Linked DNA regions of Schizosaccharomyces pombe. Changing the gene in region 1 together with any one later gene gives a genetic interaction. Each region holds a gene or a part of one and is shown in the gene's direction. Other genes may lie near its edges. The genes, in order: wis1, ppa1, ptc4 and ptc1.

Region 1 (5,180 bases):
GCGCTACCCTTTTATTCATTCTAACTATCAAAGAATTCCTTTTTCCTTTCCCCAAAAAACAACTACCATTCGTATGTACAGTCGTCTTAGTCTACTATTGTATGGTATGTGGCATACGCAGCCGTGGGTGCCAGCCAGCAACCATACCAAGTCAAAAATTTCTCTTATAGCAAATCAATTCTTCATTCAATTCAAATAATGTAAAAAAAAACGCATCTATAGAAACATACGATGAAACTTTTTAAATACAAACTAATAATGAAAATACTCGCAGACTAACAATGAAAATACTCCAAAATCTAATAAAGAATTAGCAATTTGGCATTTCATGAAACCGTAAAGCGTCAAACGAAATGAAATCTAATAAAATTAATAAAATTAAAATAAAATGCCTTCTTCTTCTTCTCAGTTTCATCGTATGATTTTCTCTTTTAATTTCTTCATTTTATTCCACTTTCCTTCTCTTCTTTAGTTTTTCCTCATTTTTGGATGTTGGGAATACAGCCTCTTTCTATCTAGTTTCATCTTCAGCCTTTTTCACCACATGTTCAATCATTCGACTCTTTCTGTATTCTTCTATCTCAATTGAACATTATTGAGTCTGTTTTAATGAAAATTTTTTTTGTCTTCCCTTGATGTTGGCGCAAAACTAGACGTTCCAAATTTTTTCTCATTAATAAAGGATTATCCTCAAATCGTTTTTATAGCCCCCTTTCTACTTTGTTCGAGCATACACCGTACATTATGCATTTGCATATAGATGGAGTGATCTAGGAACTTTTGTAAATTTTTTTCTCTTTGCTTGTTTTTCCTTCCTACGAAAGTTCTACCCCTTCGTTGCACTTTTCACTTCAGTGTCTTTTTCCATAGAACAAAATGTTCCTAGCAGTTTTGCTGCTACTCTTACATTATTTTTGTGTGTTTCCTTAAACAAAAGAAATTTAAAAAAATTAGAAAAAAAAAAAAAATTTAAAAATAAATAAATTTTTTTTTACGCTGCTTCTAGAGCACAAATAACACACTCTCTTCATTCCACTTGCTGAACCTTTTAACGATTATTAAAAAATGTTTTATTATACATTACTACACCTTTTCGAAACACTTGTGCGTTAACTCGCTTTTTTTTATCGCTCTCAAGGACGGAAGCTACTAGGTTAGTTATATTTCTCTTATTTATTTGGTTATACATTTTACCTTGGATCATGATTTTTCTTAGTATACATTGACATTCGAATACCAGCTTTGAAACTTAAAGCCCTATGCACCTAATCATTAATTATTTTTGTTTTTATTTATTTATTCTTTATTCTTTTCTAATCAAACACTACCATATCTATCGGACAATTCAATTCCTTCTGTCAAGACCGATAAATCGTTGTGTTTATCTTCCATTAAAATATTTTTCGGCCCTTTTTTTTTCTGTTTTTCTTTACTTCTATGTATTATTCTCTATACGTTGAGCATTTTACCCAATCATCCTGTGCTTTCCCATTAATCCATCGAGGTATTTCTTACCAGCTATTTCTGCCGTACATTCTTTCCATTTGCATATAAATCTCAGGATACCTTGTTAGAAATCTTGTCGAATGATTCATACAGGTCGTTACGCTTATACGGAGATCTGCAGCATATTATTTGGCTTCACGTTATTTTGATTTTACAAATTTGATTGTATCCCTTAACCATCCCTTGTTTTGATGAAACATTTTTTTATCCACGTTATCCTTATATACTGATACGTAAGCTAACGTGCAAAAGTTTCTCCTTAAGATTAAGCAACGTGTTGTCTGACTTTCGTTATCCTTTTATCCTTCACCAACTCCATCCCATTCCACCTTCTTGTATACCCAAACATACCCCAGCCGGCTGGCGATAGCTGGGATTCCTAATCTCTCAAGCATTCCCTTTCGACGTGTATATCTTATTTACATCGTACCGACTACACTTCCTATTTTATCACCCTCCCTAAATTTTCCCATTTCCTTTAAAGAGCAGAATTTTTTTTGCTCTTTACTGTAAGAGAAAAGCGTTTCTGAATTTTTTCTCTTCCTTCCACACCCTTACGTGTTATCTTTTAGAAAGATAATTTCAAATTTCTTTCCTTTTTATTTCGTGTTTGTGAATTATTACTTTTTCTCCTTACCTTTGCCTCCTTACTCGTCGGTCATAACTCGGTTTTAAAGTATTGACTTCTCGGACTAAGATTAACCCACACCTTTTTACTTTTTTTTCTTTAGTTCTCCTTGGGAAATTTATTATCTAAGCCCCTGTTTCTTCCAGTTTCTGGCTTTTGCTGTTAAATTTAAACCCTTCCAAACCTCCTTTTTTTCCGTGGCATTTACCTACACAAAGCTACTCGTAGGTGATTGCCTTTAAACTTCCTTTTTTTTTCTTGGAATATCCTTCCTGCGGACTTTTTAGACCACCGCTTTTTTTTTCCTTCTTCGTCGGAGACGACTCGTAATTGATTGTCTAATTTTAATTGTTCTTTTCACCCAAGATACCTTTTTTGTATTGCCATCTCACTTTCGTTCATCTTCACTTTTGCTTCATTTATATTACCGGAATTTAGTTTACCTAATTTTTTTTTCTTTTTTTTTAAGTTTGTGAAGCACATTTATTTTATATGTCTTCTCCAAATAATCAACCCTTGTCTTGCTCATTGAGACAGCTGTCTATTTCTCCTACCGCACCTCCCGGTGATGTTGGTACTCCCGGCTCGCTCCTTTCTCTTTCGTCTTCAAGTTCTTCAAACACCGATTCTTCTGGTTCTTCCTTGGGTTCCTTGTCTTTAAATTCTAACAGTAGTGGCAGTGACAATGACTCAAAGGTTTCTTCTCCTAGTCGTGAAATACCTTCCGATCCCCCTCTTCCCCGTGCCGTGCCTACGGTCAGACTTGGCAGATCTACGTCCAGTCGGAGTCGTAACTCTCTTAACCTTGACATGAAGGATCCTTCGGAAAAACCTAGACGTTCACTTCCTACAGCAGCTGGTCAGAACAATATTGGATCTCCTCCTACTCCACCGGGCCCATTTCCTGGAGGACTTTCAACTGATATACAGGAGAAATTGAAGGCCTTCCATGCATCTAGATCAAAATCAATGCCGGAAGTAGTCAACAAGATCAGTAGTCCAACTACCCCTATTGTCGGTATGGGTCAACGAGGAAGTTATCCTTTGCCTAACTCTCAACTTGCTGGTCGATTAAGTAATTCGCCCGTAAAGTCTCCGAATATGCCAGAGTCCGGGCTTGCAAAATCACTTGCTGCTGCTAGGAATCCTTTACTCAACCGTCCAACGTCCTTCAATCGACAAACGAGAATCCGTCGTGCACCACCTGGAAAACTCGATTTATCCAATTCCAATCCCACCAGCCCTGTCAGTCCGTCTAGCATGGCTTCTCGCCGTGGCCTAAACATTCCTCCCACCCTTAAACAGGCTGTTTCGGAAACCCCTTTTTCCACATTTTCGGATATTTTGGATGCAAAATCAGGCACCTTAAATTTTAAAAACAAAGCCGTGTTAAATTCAGAAGGTGTTAACTTTTCATCTGGCTCTTCGTTTCGTATTAATATGTCAGAGATTATTAAGCTTGAAGAACTTGGAAAAGGTAACTATGGTGTTGTGTATAAAGCATTGCATCAACCGACTGGTGTCACTATGGCCTTGAAGGAAATTAGGTTGTCCTTAGAAGAAGCAACATTTAATCAAATTATAATGGAATTGGATATTTTACATAAAGCAGTTAGTCCTTATATCGTTGACTTTTATGGTGCCTTTTTTGTGGAAGGTTCTGTTTTTATTTGTATGGAATATATGGATGCTGGTAGCATGGACAAACTGTATGCTGGTGGTATCAAAGACGAAGGAGTTTTAGCTAGAACTGCTTATGCTGTAGTGCAAGGCCTCAAAACTTTGAAAGAGGAGCATAATATCATTCATCGTGACGTTAAACCTACTAATGTTTTGGTAAATTCTAATGGCCAGGTTAAGTTATGTGACTTTGGCGTGAGTGGGAATCTTGTGGCTTCTATATCCAAAACGAACATTGGATGTCAATCTTACATGGCTCCTGAAAGAATTCGTGTTGGTGGACCTACCAATGGCGTCTTGACTTACACCGTACAGGCTGATGTGTGGTCTCTAGGCCTTACCATTTTAGAAATGGCTTTAGGAGCTTATCCGTATCCACCTGAATCATATACTTCAATATTTGCACAACTATCGGCGATTTGCGATGGCGATCCACCTTCTCTCCCCGATTCATTTTCTCCCGAAGCTCGTGATTTTGTAAACAAGTGTTTGAATAAAAACCCGTCTTTGCGTCCCGATTATCATGAGTTGGCTAACCATCCATGGTTGTTAAAATATCAAAATGCAGATGTGGACATGGCTTCATGGGCAAAAGGCGCTCTTAAAGAGAAAGGTGAAAAAAGAAGCTAAAGGTTCGCCTGCTTTCTAATTGCCTGCTCTGTTTTAAAGTACCCATGCGCATTGGTGTTTGTCTTTAATTTCGAATGCATGACTATTACGTGATCCATAATTATGTTTCAGCAGAACCGACGCTATTTTGCATTTGTGCTTTTTCATAAATTTAATAATTTGGGTATGATTCCGTATAACGGTAGTTGATGTTTGCATTTTTGCTTTAAATTAAAACGGGTATTTAATGTGTTATTACATTTGTTTAAGGCATTTACGTCCACCATAAAAAACTTTTTTTTTATTTAACTAAGGGGCTTTAGAAGTGCAAACGAAAGTTTGCAATTGTAAAAGTTACTTGTACTGTATTAATTTATTTCTTTTAAAACTTCGTTGACTGGCTCCGTCGTTTTAGCTACTATGATCTCCTGTTTCCTACAATGGTGATTACTTAGAGAGATTGAATCCATCGTAAATGCAAGTGTTAATAGATATTATATCGACCTAATAATAATTACTTAAACTATTAATATATTACTCAAAGAGATTTGAGGTATTCATTTATTTAAAAAGTACGAGACTTTTATATATCAAAGAAACAAATTCTCCCAACATAAGTCCAACAAGGTAATCTAGAGTCATAACAGATTTTTATCCTGGAAATGAAAATTCCTTCATAGTGGAATATTTTTTGAGAAAGAACGCCGTAATATATTACGGTCGCTTTTGAGATGCGTATTTCGCTTTTGCAGTTTCA
Region 2 (4,099 bases), on another chromosome or scaffold:
TTTAAAAAGAAAAAACAAAAAAAAAAAAAATTACACTTCACTTTACAAGGCTTGGGCCACTTTTCTTAGGATTTATGGTAAAACGTACTGAGGATATCGTTTACCCCTTGCAGAAATATAGAATATCATTTCTTTTCTTTGATAAATATATGCTTTAAGTTAATTCAACCTCTACACTAATTTCGATTTTTAATCTGCAGCCCTTTAAAATAAAGAAGACTGTAAATTACTTTAAGAATTTCATTTTTTTGCATATAAAAGATAAAATATGACATTTATCATGACTCGAACAAACGACTGCTTGCTAATCACGGAATAAACAACAAACTTTATATCAGTGCTGGTAAGTTTCGTTACTTTAAATCCTAGAGTTGGATAGCTGTACAAAGCAAGCAATTTCAGCAATTCAAAAAGATTTGGACTATGGCTCAGAAAAAGCAGTTATACGTATTCAGTGACTTTGACGGTATGAAAAAATAATTTCAATAAAAACAGACAACTAACTTTTGGGGTCTAGGAACTATTACACTCCAGGATTCCAATGACTACTTAACTGGTAAGGTTGGGAATAGGAAGATTGTTACAGATATAAAAAGATGTATAAAGGTAGTTAGAAAATGTTCTTACAATTAAGCTTAACTGAATATTTATTGAAGATTTACGAAAATCTGTAAGAGAAATCTATGATTTTATAACATTGGGTCAAAAATTTCCCTGCCCACCTTGAATGCTTTATTACTGCAACACTCGACGGCGACGGTTTACTAACTATGTTTTAGACAACTTTGGAATGGGCAACGCCAACCGTGTGAATCTAAATCAACAAGTTCTTGACGGTTCCATTTCTTTTCGGTAAGCGTTTGACGCGTAAATCAACTCTTAACAATTCATAGTGATGCTTTCGCGAAGATGTTGGATTCAGTGCATTTAAGCTATGATGAAGCTTTGGAGGTTCTCAAGAAGAATGTCGCCATTGATCCATCATTTAAACCATTCTATGAATGGTGTAAGTCTCAAGACATTCGTGTAATCATCCTTTCAAGTGGTATGGAGCCTTTTATTCGTGCACTTTTTGAGCAATACCTTGGCAAAGAAGAAGCAAGTAGTATTGAAATTGTTTCTAATGACATCAATGTGCATCCTGATGGTCAATGGAACATTGTGTATCATGATGACAGTCATTTTGGACACGACAAAAGCCTTACTATCCGTCCGTATGCTCAATTGCCAGAAAGTAAACGTCCTCACATGGTCTATTGCGGAGATGGTGTTTCCGATTTGAGTGCTGCGAAGGAAACAGAACACTTGTTTGCCAAGAAAGGACGTGATTTAATTAAATATTGTGAAAGGGAGAAAATTTCTTTCTCTGAATTCGAAACCTTTGCTGATATCCATAAAGATTTGCAAAAATTATTCTTTAGCAGTTAAATCTGAATAATACCTAAGAAGTTTTCGTACTTCAACATTTTTATACCTAAAGTTGATAGATATTTGTTATCAGCGCCTCGAAACTTAGTTTCAAGCAGGTCCTCATAGCAATTTAAATGCATCATTCACCAACGGTTCGATTAGTTTGGGTTGTTAGAAGCAATGATTTAACATAATTTGTATTTATATACTCATCCATTTGCGAGTCTTGTATGAAAAATCCTATATCATATCAGTCCGTAAGTGGTCGCATTGCTACAATATCTCTTTATTTTTTTTAAGAAAGAAAATAAAGAGATATTAAATTTTGCGTCTTTTGGTCGTGAGATCGCCGAAATAAGGTAGCGAGTATAACATAATGTAGATCACGCATATTGTTATATTTTGGTTTGGTAAAGTTACTCAAAGTCAGGAAACTTGTAATGATGTTTTAAGGGGCTTGCAGAAAAAATTGCTATTACGAAATCCATGTCTGTAATATTTTGGTTATTAATAAATTGAAATAAAATTTAAAACATGAAATATTGTGACTTTATGTATCCTGTCTACTACCATACCTTTCAACCTTCATACAAATTTTCCCGTACTCGCATCATTTTCTTTCTTCACCTAACTCCCCACCGTGTCTGTAAAACATAATATTTCTCTTTCCCACATACGAACGAATAAATAATAAAATACAGTATATGTACAGTAAACGTACCTCAGACACCATTATTTTGTCAAGAAAGTGAATAAGCTTACAATACCCCCGTCATCCAGTGAATTCGTAAGTGGGAAGTTGAAAAACGCATGCTCAACGCAGGATAGCATACAAACGGAAAAGCCCTTATGGATTTTTCTGTGGATGCTTTTCTTTTTAATTAAAAATTTAGTCGTTTATTAACTATTGCTTTAAGTTTTTTTCAACAAGATGTCTGTCTCTGGAAAAATTGGAGAGGTCGATCGTTGGATTGAACAGTTGAGTCGATGCGAACCTCTTTCAGAGGAAGATGTCATTCAAATGTGTGATCTCGCAAAAGAGGTACTTTCTGTAGAATCAAACGTTCAAAGCGTCCGATGCCCTGTAACGGTTTGTGGTGATATTCATGGACAATTCCATGACTTAATGGAGTTGTTCAATATTGGCGGCCCTTCACCTGATACAAATTATTTGTTTATGGGAGATTATGTTGACAGAGGATATCACAGTGTAGAAACAGTTTCTCTACTGATTGCTTTTAAAATTCGATATCCCCAGCGTATAACAATATTACGTGGAAACCATGAATCTAGGCAAATTACACAAGTTTATGGATTTTATGATGAATGCCTTAGAAAGTATGGAAATGCGAATGTTTGGCAGTACTTTACAGATCTTTTTGACTATTTGCCTCTCACCGCCCTAATTGAAGATCGAATTTTTTGCCTTCACGGAGGTCTTTCTCCTAGTATTGATACACTTGACCATGTTCGTATATTAGATCGTGTGCAAGAGGTTCCTCATGAAGGTCCGATATGCGACTTGTTATGGTCAGATCCTGATGACCGACCTGGTTGGGGTATTTCTCCTCGAGGTGCTGGGTATACGTTTGGCCCGGATATTGCTGAAGCATTTAACCATAATAACGGTTTAGATTTAATAGCAAGAGCTCATCAGCTAGTTATGGAAGGTTATAATTGGACTACAAACCATAATGTTGTTACTATTTTTTCTGCTCCCAATTATTGTTATCGATGTGGAAACCAAGCAGCCATTATGGGAATTGATGACCACATAAATTACGCATTTATCCAATATGATACTGCTCCCCGAAAGGAGGAATTACATGTCACCAGAAGAACACCCGATTACTTCTTATAAGTCATCGTATGTTTTACTTTCTTCTTGGACTTGTTAATAGCTGGAATTTTTCATGGTTGGATTTTAGCGTTGTCAACGTGCCGCTAAAAATTTACTTTAATTTTATGGGTTTCTAATAGAATGTTGTTATCTTCGAATTTTTAATTCTCCTGTTTCGGTACAAATATTGAATTTATGGAATGCATATAAAATTTATATAGGATATATGATGCACTTGTAAGGTGTCTACCGTAATGATAATTTTTCACATCTGTACCGGTGTATAATATATTAGTGAAACACCAACTTATCGACATTAACATTTTAATAAATTATCTACAAAGGTCTAAACATAAATGATAGCATGTTCAGTAAATAAAAAAAAAACATAAGACCATGAAAGCTAAAACATTGTGAAGCTGATGTATGAGTAAATTTAAAACTTGTGCGCAAAAAGTTAATCGTCAAAGCTAGATATGTTAATAATCGAAAATTTAACAAACAGCTTACATGTAACGCTCAAGTAAAGCACAATTTCCTCCATTTTTAAGATTTACTGCGAACCGATAATAGTGTCCTGAATAAGAAGCTACTTGTATGTGCGGACCGCTGCTCGAAAAAATTATTTTTCCATAGAAAGAAGCTTCAGGAATCTTAGCAGTTGCAAATTCTTTCCTAGTGTCCCAAACTTTTGCTACATTTGAAGTTAAATATTTTGACCAAGAAGATGACACAGTTACGGAAGATGTAGGAGACGAATTCGGATCCGATGGTTGCTTAGAGATTTTGAAAACGTGAATAGTACCATTTTCAGAAGCACAAGCCAGAAAAGGCTCAACTGGGTGAAAT
Region 3 (4,284 bases), on another chromosome or scaffold:
TGGTTAGTGGAGGAACGGTGATCCATTGCCTGTGATTGGTCGATAAGCTCAAACAAGTGGTTCTTAGATAAACTTTGAAAGGCCGGATTGGTAAGGGCCACTCAACTGCCACTCTGTTCGGTACATTGAATGATAACGCTTCATGCGCATTGCGCTGCTTAGGGCAGAAAAAAGAGCAATTCAAAGATATGGAGGAACGGAAGCCGATTCACTGATAACTTGGTAATCCACGGATACACACATTGATCGGGACATACATAAAAAAAGAGGTTTGCAAAATTTCCAAATGTATGGAAGCAACAGCATATCCATATTCAACAATATGCACTCAATGTCATTTCATTTTCAGAAAGGTTTATTCTTTCCTTTCATGACTAGTATTCATTCTACACAAACAGTAAACTGAAACGAAAACAAATAAATTATAAAACACTAGCACAATTGAATGAACATGACTCTCGGTGTTCAGCTAACGCCCACTCATGTAAACAAGTGCTTGATGAAAAACATCCATCCATCCATCCATCCCCTGATAAGTGTTTGCTACATTACAACAGCCATTCTATCTTTATCAACAAATTGGTTGGAGACATTTATTTTAGAGGAGAGAAGATTGAGAGATTGTGTGTGCGTAAACAGTTAATTACCGATGCATCGTATTTCGGTTATTGTATATAAGAAAGAGTTGCTAGATGAAGCAATGAGGGACTTTAAAATTCCCCATTTTCACTATAAAATCCATTTCTTCTTTTCTATGAAACTTTACTTATTTGTATATTCTTATATAAATTGTTAAAGAAACAGCCTGTGGAGTGAGATCGAGCGAGTATTCGTAGCAATCGCTGGCTCTTTCCTATGTAACTTTTCTTCTATGCAGCCATGAAATTTAATGCAGTACAAGGGATTTAATCAAAGAGTTTTAATGATGAACAGAATGCGTGGATGGCATTTGCATTTCTTTGTATACGAACAAACAACATGTGACAACATTGACAATGTTTGAGATTCCCACAGTAAGAGAGATTGGGCGCTGTGTTGAAGCTCTTTCATCAATGCGCTCTCATTCCAGGTGTCGTTTGGACTAGACCATCACTAATAGTTCAACAAGTTGAAACAATTAGCAAACAATACAGAGAACAATGGCGTTATATTGGAACAAATGAATGACGGTTCTGTATTTTGGTGGCGCCGTACACCCAGCAATTTTGAATTTGGGAGCTTTTGTATATATTTCGTTATAAGTACTTGGTACTTTGGAAACGAAACAATCTCTAATCGCTAAATATCTTGCCATCATCGGAGCTGTTGCACTTATCACTTTATTCAAGCAGCGCTTATTAGGAATAAACTAAAGAGTAACATAGTCAGATTTCTCTGATGGTTGGATTGAATTGAATTGAATTGTCGTCGATAAGCTATATACTCCATCTGTTTTGCTCTAACAAAGCAATATAATCTAGAGTGCTAATGTGCTATAGTGAAAAAATAAGATAGAAAAGTAAAAAACATATTTGGATAGGAAAAATGAAAGTGGTTGGTAGAATCCACCCCCTCAAACCAACCAAAAAAAATTGAAATATTAACGAAAATGAAATAAAGACATGCTCATCAAACGAACTATCCCTACAATGCTCACAGCCTTCCTTTCATTACATATCTTCCTTAACTTCTTTTATCGTGCTTTAACGCATTTGTTTGCATAGTATTACAGGGTTCGTTTTAACACACTATATGCTTTACACCGCTTGTATAGAATCGTGTAAGACTTTCTCCTTGTTGGTGTATGCTGAACTCTTTTTAAAATCCCCTGTTATTTGGTATTTCGAGTTAGCCTTAAACTGGAAATTTACCTCGGCTTTCAAGCAAAGCGTCTGGAAGCTTCAATATCTGTAGGAAAGAAAACTTTCTTTCCTCTAATCCTTTGATCATTAATCTTTTTTTAGCAAAATTTACTAGAAATTACCGGTTTCTTGCACGGTTTGTTTTGCACGCCGCGAAGTTACCATCTCAAGCGATTCACGTTTGAGAATCCTTCTCCATTAATACATGTCGATCCGTTTTCTTAAACGTTTACGGGCACCTCTATATATTCAAAATGCCTATTGCTCAAAAAACTATTTCTATCGATCCTTTATTCAGTATTATAGTCCCTCCAATGGTCCCTACCTGAAGATAAGTATGAACAAAGCACCTCAGAGTCTTGGATTATGTACCGCTAGAGGAGATTCGCCGACAAATCAAGACCGTATGGCTTACGGCTACTTAAATAACCTAAAAGATACTACTAACAGAGATAGTCCTTTTTTCTACGGGCTTTTCGACGGTCACGGAGGTACTGAGTGTAGTGAGTTTCTTTCCACCAACTTGGGGAAGATTATTGAAAATCAAGATTTAAATGATACAGAGAAAATCCTGAAGGAAGTCCATTCCGTGGGTGGATACATGGCGGGTCTAAAGCCTCCATTTTCTTTGCGCACTGTTCTTCAATCTAGGGACGAAGATCTGCTTTGGAGGGCGAGGCTATATTATTCATTTTTACAAGCGGACATGGATTATTTAACTAACTATGCCCGGCCATCGCCTGACAGTGCTGTACCCGGCGCAGTCGGTACCGTGGCTATAATAACTTCAAAAAATAATCTCTCATATTGGGAAAGCGATAGTTACATTATTCACCTTGCTCATGTCGGCGATACAAGAGCTTTATTGTGTGATTCTCGGACTGGAAGGGCCCATCGTTTAACATTCCAACATCATCCAGCTGATGTCGAGGAAGCACGTCGGCTACGACGTTACAACATGGGTTTTTCAAGAGACTCATTTGGACAGAAAAGATTCGCTTGGGTCGCTAACACCCGTAGTTTTGGAGACGGATATAAACTCAAAAAATTAGGTGTTGTTGCCGAACCTCAATTGACTTCTATTCATTCACTAAGAGATGACTGGTCGTTTTTAACTCTTCTTTCGGACGGTATTACAGATGTCGTATCGGATGATGAAGTTGTCGATATAATAAAACTGTCTGAGTCCCCTCAAGATGCTGCGAATAATATCATTCGTTACGCTCAAAACGTTGGTGCTGTGGACGATATCACCTGTCTTGTTGTTCGTCTTCCAGGGTGGAAAAAACGCACTATTAATGACTTTACAAAGAATTTACGTTTGGAAAAGTCTGCTTATCATCCCAGAAGAAGTTGAACATCAAGTCTTCATAAAAACTAAGCCTTCAATTTAAGAATTTCTCTTTCTTTAATCCGTTTAGATAATGCTTAATATTGTTTATGTCATACGTTTTTGGCATGTTTCAATGTTCTCATTTTTGTTCTCATTTTGTCCCCATTTTAATGCATTTATAATCGATTAAACCTATAATATGTTGATTCAAGTATTTAATTACTTTTGCGGTTTCTTAAGTACGCTTTTAAGAATGACATATCCGTATATTTGTTTTATATTCAGAAAACTTTTGGGCGTTCAGAAGCTATTTCTGAATATTATATGGTTATTTTATTTTCTCCTCAATTTAGATTGTTTAACATTTTGGAATCATTAGTGCTTGACACTCTTCGTCTATCTTTGGTTAACCTATTATTCGAACACATTAGTATATGTTATATTTCTGCACTCTTAATGAATTCATATAGTGTATCAAGCCTATTCACACTATCCTCTAAATAGCATGTTACCTAGTAGAGTTGAGTATTTTACAACTTTGTGCTAAAGTATTACATCTATCCTCTTCAATAATCGTTCTGAAACATGGATGTTATTCAACGCATTATAACTTTAGATGTAACTTTTTTTTTAAGATTATTCTTCTGAACTAACTCAATTGAATTTAGAGAAGATCCAAAGGGTTTTACATAATTACAAACGATTTGGTCAAAAAGCTTCCAGAATTAAAAAGCTTTTCTTCTGGTACAGTAAATTTTTTTATACAGCATACCTCTGCTGCTCTTACTATCAATGAGAATTGGGACGCAGATACGCGAGCTGACATGAACGATATATTGGATAAAATTGTCCCTGAATCAGCAGGCTACCGTCATACTGCAGAAGGATTAGACGATATGCCTGCTCATGTTAAATCTAGCTTAATTGGACCTAGTTTAACTGTTCCCATTACTAATGGGAAGTTGAGCTTGGGTACTTGGCAAGACATTCAGTTAGCTGAGTTTCGTCGCCAACCTCATTCTCGTACAATTGTTTGTACTATTATAGGTTTACGAAGCAATTGAAGTACCTTTAAGTTTTTATTAGTATGTGCTTGGGAATGATGTGAAT
Region 4 (4,496 bases), on another chromosome or scaffold:
ATAACTTTGATGCTTTGTAATGCATGTGGTATATATTGGACGAGTCGGCGCTCGATGCGTCCAAGAAATTTATGGTCTACCTATAAAGCATTTGAAACAGAGAAACCGTTGGAAAATGATGCATTTGCTCAGCTTGAGTTAGCCGTATATAAACTTTCCCAGCAACGAAAACTATCTATATCCATCTTCCGTGAGCTTGAAAATGCAGGACGGCACTCTCCTCTGAATAGACTTACGTCTTTAGACTCAACACACTCTGCACCTGATCCCAATCATATCTCAAAACCCTCTGTTGTTAATCAGCAGAAATCCAGAGGAGGTCCCCGTACTGCTAAGCTGAAAAATGACCTCAGACGCATACAATCATCTCCCATTGTTGCACCTACTCCTGATACATCATTTCGTGAGCCTTTATCCGAAATTGGGTCTAATGATAGTTGGCTGGTATTACCAAATTCACTAAGTGCCAATATACAAAATGATGTTTTAAGAAAAACTGATTTCATGTGTACTGACAAGGAAAACGTCGCTTTTCCTTTGAAAACCACAACAAAGCCTATGCCTAAAGTAAATAAAGAAGAGACAGAGCCAACTCTGCCTGTTTGCGATTCAGAAAAAGAAAATGATGATTTAGAGTGCTATTTCAGAACCCCTCCAAAACCAACTACCTTACAAAAGCAACAACAAAGTCCATCACCCTGGAGGTCAGAGTTATTTTTGTCTGACCCTGACCAAAACGTATTGACACCAAGGCATAAGCCAAAGTTTGATTTATCAAAGGCATTGTCTTCGGTTGCAAAATCCAATAACATTGAGAATTCACCTCAATTACCAGAAAGATATGATTTTTCTTTAGAATTGGGGTTGAATTCTCAACTCGATAATGAAGAAAGACGCGATATTCCTCTGATGACAGATTTGGTGATGCCAAGTAGTCCGCCCATGGTCCCTGCTGACAGGCATTTATCCGTTGAAAACACTTGTTGAAAGAGCGATAAAGGCGTACCTTTGCTTCACACATTACCCTTGTTCTTTAATTTTTTGTTTTATCAAGAAGTCATGTGTGATCAAAATTGACATCTTTCATTATTCGAGTCTTCTTGCTTTTTTATGATTTTTATTTTGATAATGACATCCTTAATTCGTTTTCTTAACCGCAAAAAAATGATTGTTGCTGTTAAAGTCCTTACTGCGTAAGAACTCCCAAGGCATGTCCCCTCAAATCCGTCCTTCGTTCTTTTTATTTCTAAAGCAATTTATTTTATTTTCTTTCATACCATGAGCCGTTATTACCTCCCCCTTGATTATTAAAATATTTCAAGTCGTTGCTTATTGTTGGCGGCATAGCCAAGAGCATGCGACAAGCATTCTATAAATCTTGTCGCAAAATAGAAGTTGGACACTATTTCTTTTAATCTTCTCAAATGTTCTTCGACTTCATCTTTGAGGCTCGGTTTATGGAAATTTTGGATACTTCGTGATAGTTCTGTCTGTTTTGCTTATACAAACAAATTATAATTTCATTAATTGTATTATGAAAGCCGATATGGACAAAGCCACATCCTTATTTTACATACGGAAAAAGTTACTTTTAATTATTTATATGAACACTGTTATTCTTGTTAGCATGTTTATGTTGCGAAACGTTTCTAATTGATTATTATGGGTAGACCGGATAATTGATATTTAGCAAATTCACTAGACGAACACATGACAAATTTTTTTCAGTAATGCGAACCAAAGTCACGCGAAAGCAAGTGTAAAAGTCGAAGGATTTCAATACATGGTTCAATATTTTTGTCTAGAATAAATCAAACGTTTAGTTCATATATTCAAAACAACAGCTTATTGCTGCTTACTATTTCTAATTTTCTAATAGCCTTTTGTTAGCATTTTTGTATTATAATGTAGTTCAATGCAGAGCGGATAACGGTTTAGTGGAAGTTAACCTAGTACGTAAAAATGATTTCCGAAGATCTCGGTATACCACGCGTGACGTAAATGCCCGAGTTTATTAGCACTGACTGACTTAACAAGTTTATACTTACGCAGAAACCCAAGGAAAATCGGTGTTTCTCGTATATACTATACAATCAGCAATTTTATACCTGATATTATAATTGAAGGTATTTAGTTAATTTGAAAAGCAATTTTTTTGTCGGTACTGAAGTGTTTGAACGAATATGAAGGGAAGCCATCCAAATGCAGGTTCCCTGTTGGAACCACTTCACAAGTTGAACCCATTTTCTGAAAATTCTACAAGTGGACATCGAAAAAACGCTAGTGATCATTCGGCGGATGGAGAAACTCGACCGATTGCAATTGAGATGAAGGATAGTAAAGGCAACACAGTCCCAGTTGGTAACTCGCGCCCTAGTAAAGCCTCTAACTGGCTTGCTGGACTGATGGAGGATAAAAACCAAAGATGGCGTAGGTCTATGGAGGATACTCATATTTGCTTGTATGATTTTGGGGGTAATCAGGACGACGGCTTCGTTGCCGTTTATGACGGACATGCTGGCATTCAAGCATCTGACTACTGTCAGAAGAATCTTCACAAGGTACTTTTGGAAAAGGTTAGGAATGAGCCGGACCGGCTGGTCACAGACCTAATGGACGAAACATTTGTCGAGGTCAACAGCAAAATTGCAAAGGCTACTCACAATGACATTTGCGGTTGTACCGCTGCAGTTGCTTTCTTTAGATATGAGAAAAACCGCACCCGCCGTGTTCTCTACACAGCTAATGCAGGTGATGCACGTATCGTATTATGCCGTGATGGTAAGGCTATTCGACTTTCTTACGATCACAAGGGATCCGATGCCAATGAGTCTCGTCGTGTGACCCAGTTGGGTGGTCTCATGGTACAAAACCGAATTAATGGCGTTCTTGCTGTCACAAGGGCCTTAGGTGATACCTATCTTAAGGAATTGGTCAGTGCGCATCCCTTCACCACTGAAACCCGAATCTGGAACGGTCATGATGAGTTCTTCATTATCGCTTGTGATGGCTTGTGGGATGTAGTATCGGATCAGGAAGCTGTCGACTTTGTTCGCAATTTCGTAAGCCCTCGCGAAGCCGCTGTTCGCCTGGTAGAATTTGCATTAAAACGTCTTAGTACAGACAATATCACTTGTATTGTAGTTAACTTGACTCGCAATCCCGGTGATCTCGATGATTCAGGACTTACCGCTGATAATGATTCATACAGTAATGACTATTATTAGGTATTTGATGGATTCAATGATGTGCTTTCTGTTGTTTCGTAACGGTTTTTCGATGTCTTTACCTCATCCACAGTACTTGTTTGGAAGCCGGAATGACTTAATCCTATTTTTTTGTTTACCAAGCACTGTAATTGCATCGATTCTTTTCCTTTATTTATGGACCTTGTATTCTCATTTGGACATGGTTTTCCTTTGGGTCGACTTATTTTTTCTAATTAATTACTCTTCTTTTTATAAACCACTTTGTGCATGTTTCTCTTGTTCTTCTTTTTTGTCTAAAAGTAATGTGTCTAAATATCGATCCTAAATCTGTCCAAATCTAGTTTCTTTTTTCTTTTTTCATGATTTGCTACCTTTTCCTCCAATCTGCGTGCCACTGTTCGAATCAATCGTATATTCATCATTAGCCCTCTTCATACCCATTTAAAGGTACAAACATTTCACTCTTTTTAAGGTTCTTCGTGAGTGTTTTCGGTATTTTTATTTACAATTGCTTCGCAAATATTATGAATGTACTTGCGTGCATGCATTGGTGTTTATAACAAAGGCTATACGTTCACCAAAAAAAATTTATTTTACCCTTTTATCGTCTTTAATTTTCGATTTAAAAGTCGAATTATAATTATTATTCTGAAGTTACGGGTTGTCTTTATTTTGTCCCGTTCCTGCTAAAATACCATTTGCACGTAAAAATATATATACATACACTAATTGTACCAAGTATTCGAGATTTTAGCATTGGCCTAAACATAGGAAAAAGACAACGCTTTTCTACTTACTGTCTCAACTCTAGTTTTCATACATAAAGGTGCAGAGCAATACAATCAAATGATACTCACCGGATAAAGACATGCAATTGTTTTTTATAATTACCGTTTATAGGTTTTTTGTTGAATGATCTGGAAATGAATGACTATAGTAATAGATAATAATACATGAAAAAAACATTGACAAATTGAAACAACCACGTTAAACCGATCATACATAGCTGAACTGAAGTCAACTCAACTCATTTTGTCATGGTGAAGTCAAAGTTCTCACCAAACAAGTCATTTATGCTTTCAGTGGTTGGAATGTCTGTAGGAAGATTTAGAGCGTTGTCAAACGTATTAGTTAAATGCGAAGCAAAGCTGCCATCATTACCGAACGCAGCACTGTAGTTTTCTTGTGCTTGCAAGTCAATTCCCATTTGCTGGTTAGGAAACAAAGAAGCCGATCCTGCAGTACTTTTATTTTCAGAAGATGGGGAGCCAAACAAATCCAAATTAC

What was found.
Region 2: of wis1 (region 1) and ppa1, changing one suppresses a phenotype caused by changing the other (phenotypic suppression), as found in Schizosaccharomyces pombe (one study listed by BioGRID).
Region 3: of wis1 (region 1) and ptc4, changing one enhances a phenotype caused by changing the other (phenotypic enhancement), as found in Schizosaccharomyces pombe (one study listed by BioGRID).
Region 4: of wis1 (region 1) and ptc1, a mutation in one rescues a mutant of the other (synthetic rescue), as found in Schizosaccharomyces pombe (one study listed by BioGRID).

What each region holds. Positions count from the first base shown.
Region 1 is NC_003423.3:1,143,231-1,148,410, reverse strand, and holds wis1 (MAP kinase kinase Wis1), read left to right. Parts: upstream 1-1,807; 5' UTR 1,808-2,626; coding exon 2,627-4,444; 3' UTR 4,445-4,680; downstream 4,681-5,180. Other genes in the region: ubiquitin hydrolase Uch2, read right to left, coding at 5,138-5,180. UniProt on the Schizosaccharomyces pombe protein: Dosage-dependent regulator of mitosis with serine/ threonine protein kinase activity. May play a role in the integration of nutritional sensing with the control over entry into mitosis. It may interact with cdc25, wee1 and win1. May activate sty1.
Region 2 is NC_003424.3:2,605,762-2,609,860, forward strand, and holds ppa1 (serine/threonine protein phosphatase PP2A catalytic subunit Ppa1), read left to right. Parts: upstream 1-2,034; 5' UTR 2,035-2,197; exon of another isoform or gene 2,198-2,255; intron 2,256-2,327; 5' UTR 2,328-2,341; coding exon 2,342-3,271; 3' UTR 3,272-3,599; downstream 3,600-4,099. Other genes in the region: ptf1 (phosphoric monoester hydrolase), read left to right, coding at 424-466, 518-556, 780-852, 894-1,428; phosphatidylinositol-3,5-bisphosphate binding protein Atg1802, read right to left, coding at 3,708-3,720, 3,761-4,099.
Region 3 is NC_003424.3:2,540,201-2,544,484, reverse strand, and holds ptc4 (mitochondrial serine/threonine protein phosphatase PP2C catalytic subunit Ptc4), read left to right. Parts: upstream 1-1,829; 5' UTR 1,830-2,046; coding exon 2,047-3,198; 3' UTR 3,199-3,740; downstream 3,741-4,284. Other genes in the region: SPOM_SPAC4A8.02C (uncharacterized protein), read left to right, coding at 3,760-3,792, 3,843-4,238. UniProt on the Schizosaccharomyces pombe protein: Has a role in the regulation of vacuole fusion.
Region 4 is NC_003421.2:2,002,496-2,006,991, forward strand, and holds ptc1 (serine/threonine protein phosphatase PP2C catalytic subunit Ptc1), read left to right. Parts: upstream 1-2,040; 5' UTR 2,041-2,183; coding exon 2,184-3,227; 3' UTR 3,228-3,897; downstream 3,898-4,496. Other genes in the region: GATA-type transcription factor Ams2, read left to right, coding at 1-987; SPOM_SPCC4F11.03C (uncharacterized protein), read right to left, coding at 4,237-4,496. UniProt on the Schizosaccharomyces pombe protein: Serine and threonine phosphatase. Has a specialized role in the heat shock response. May be responsible for the dephosphorylation of hsp90.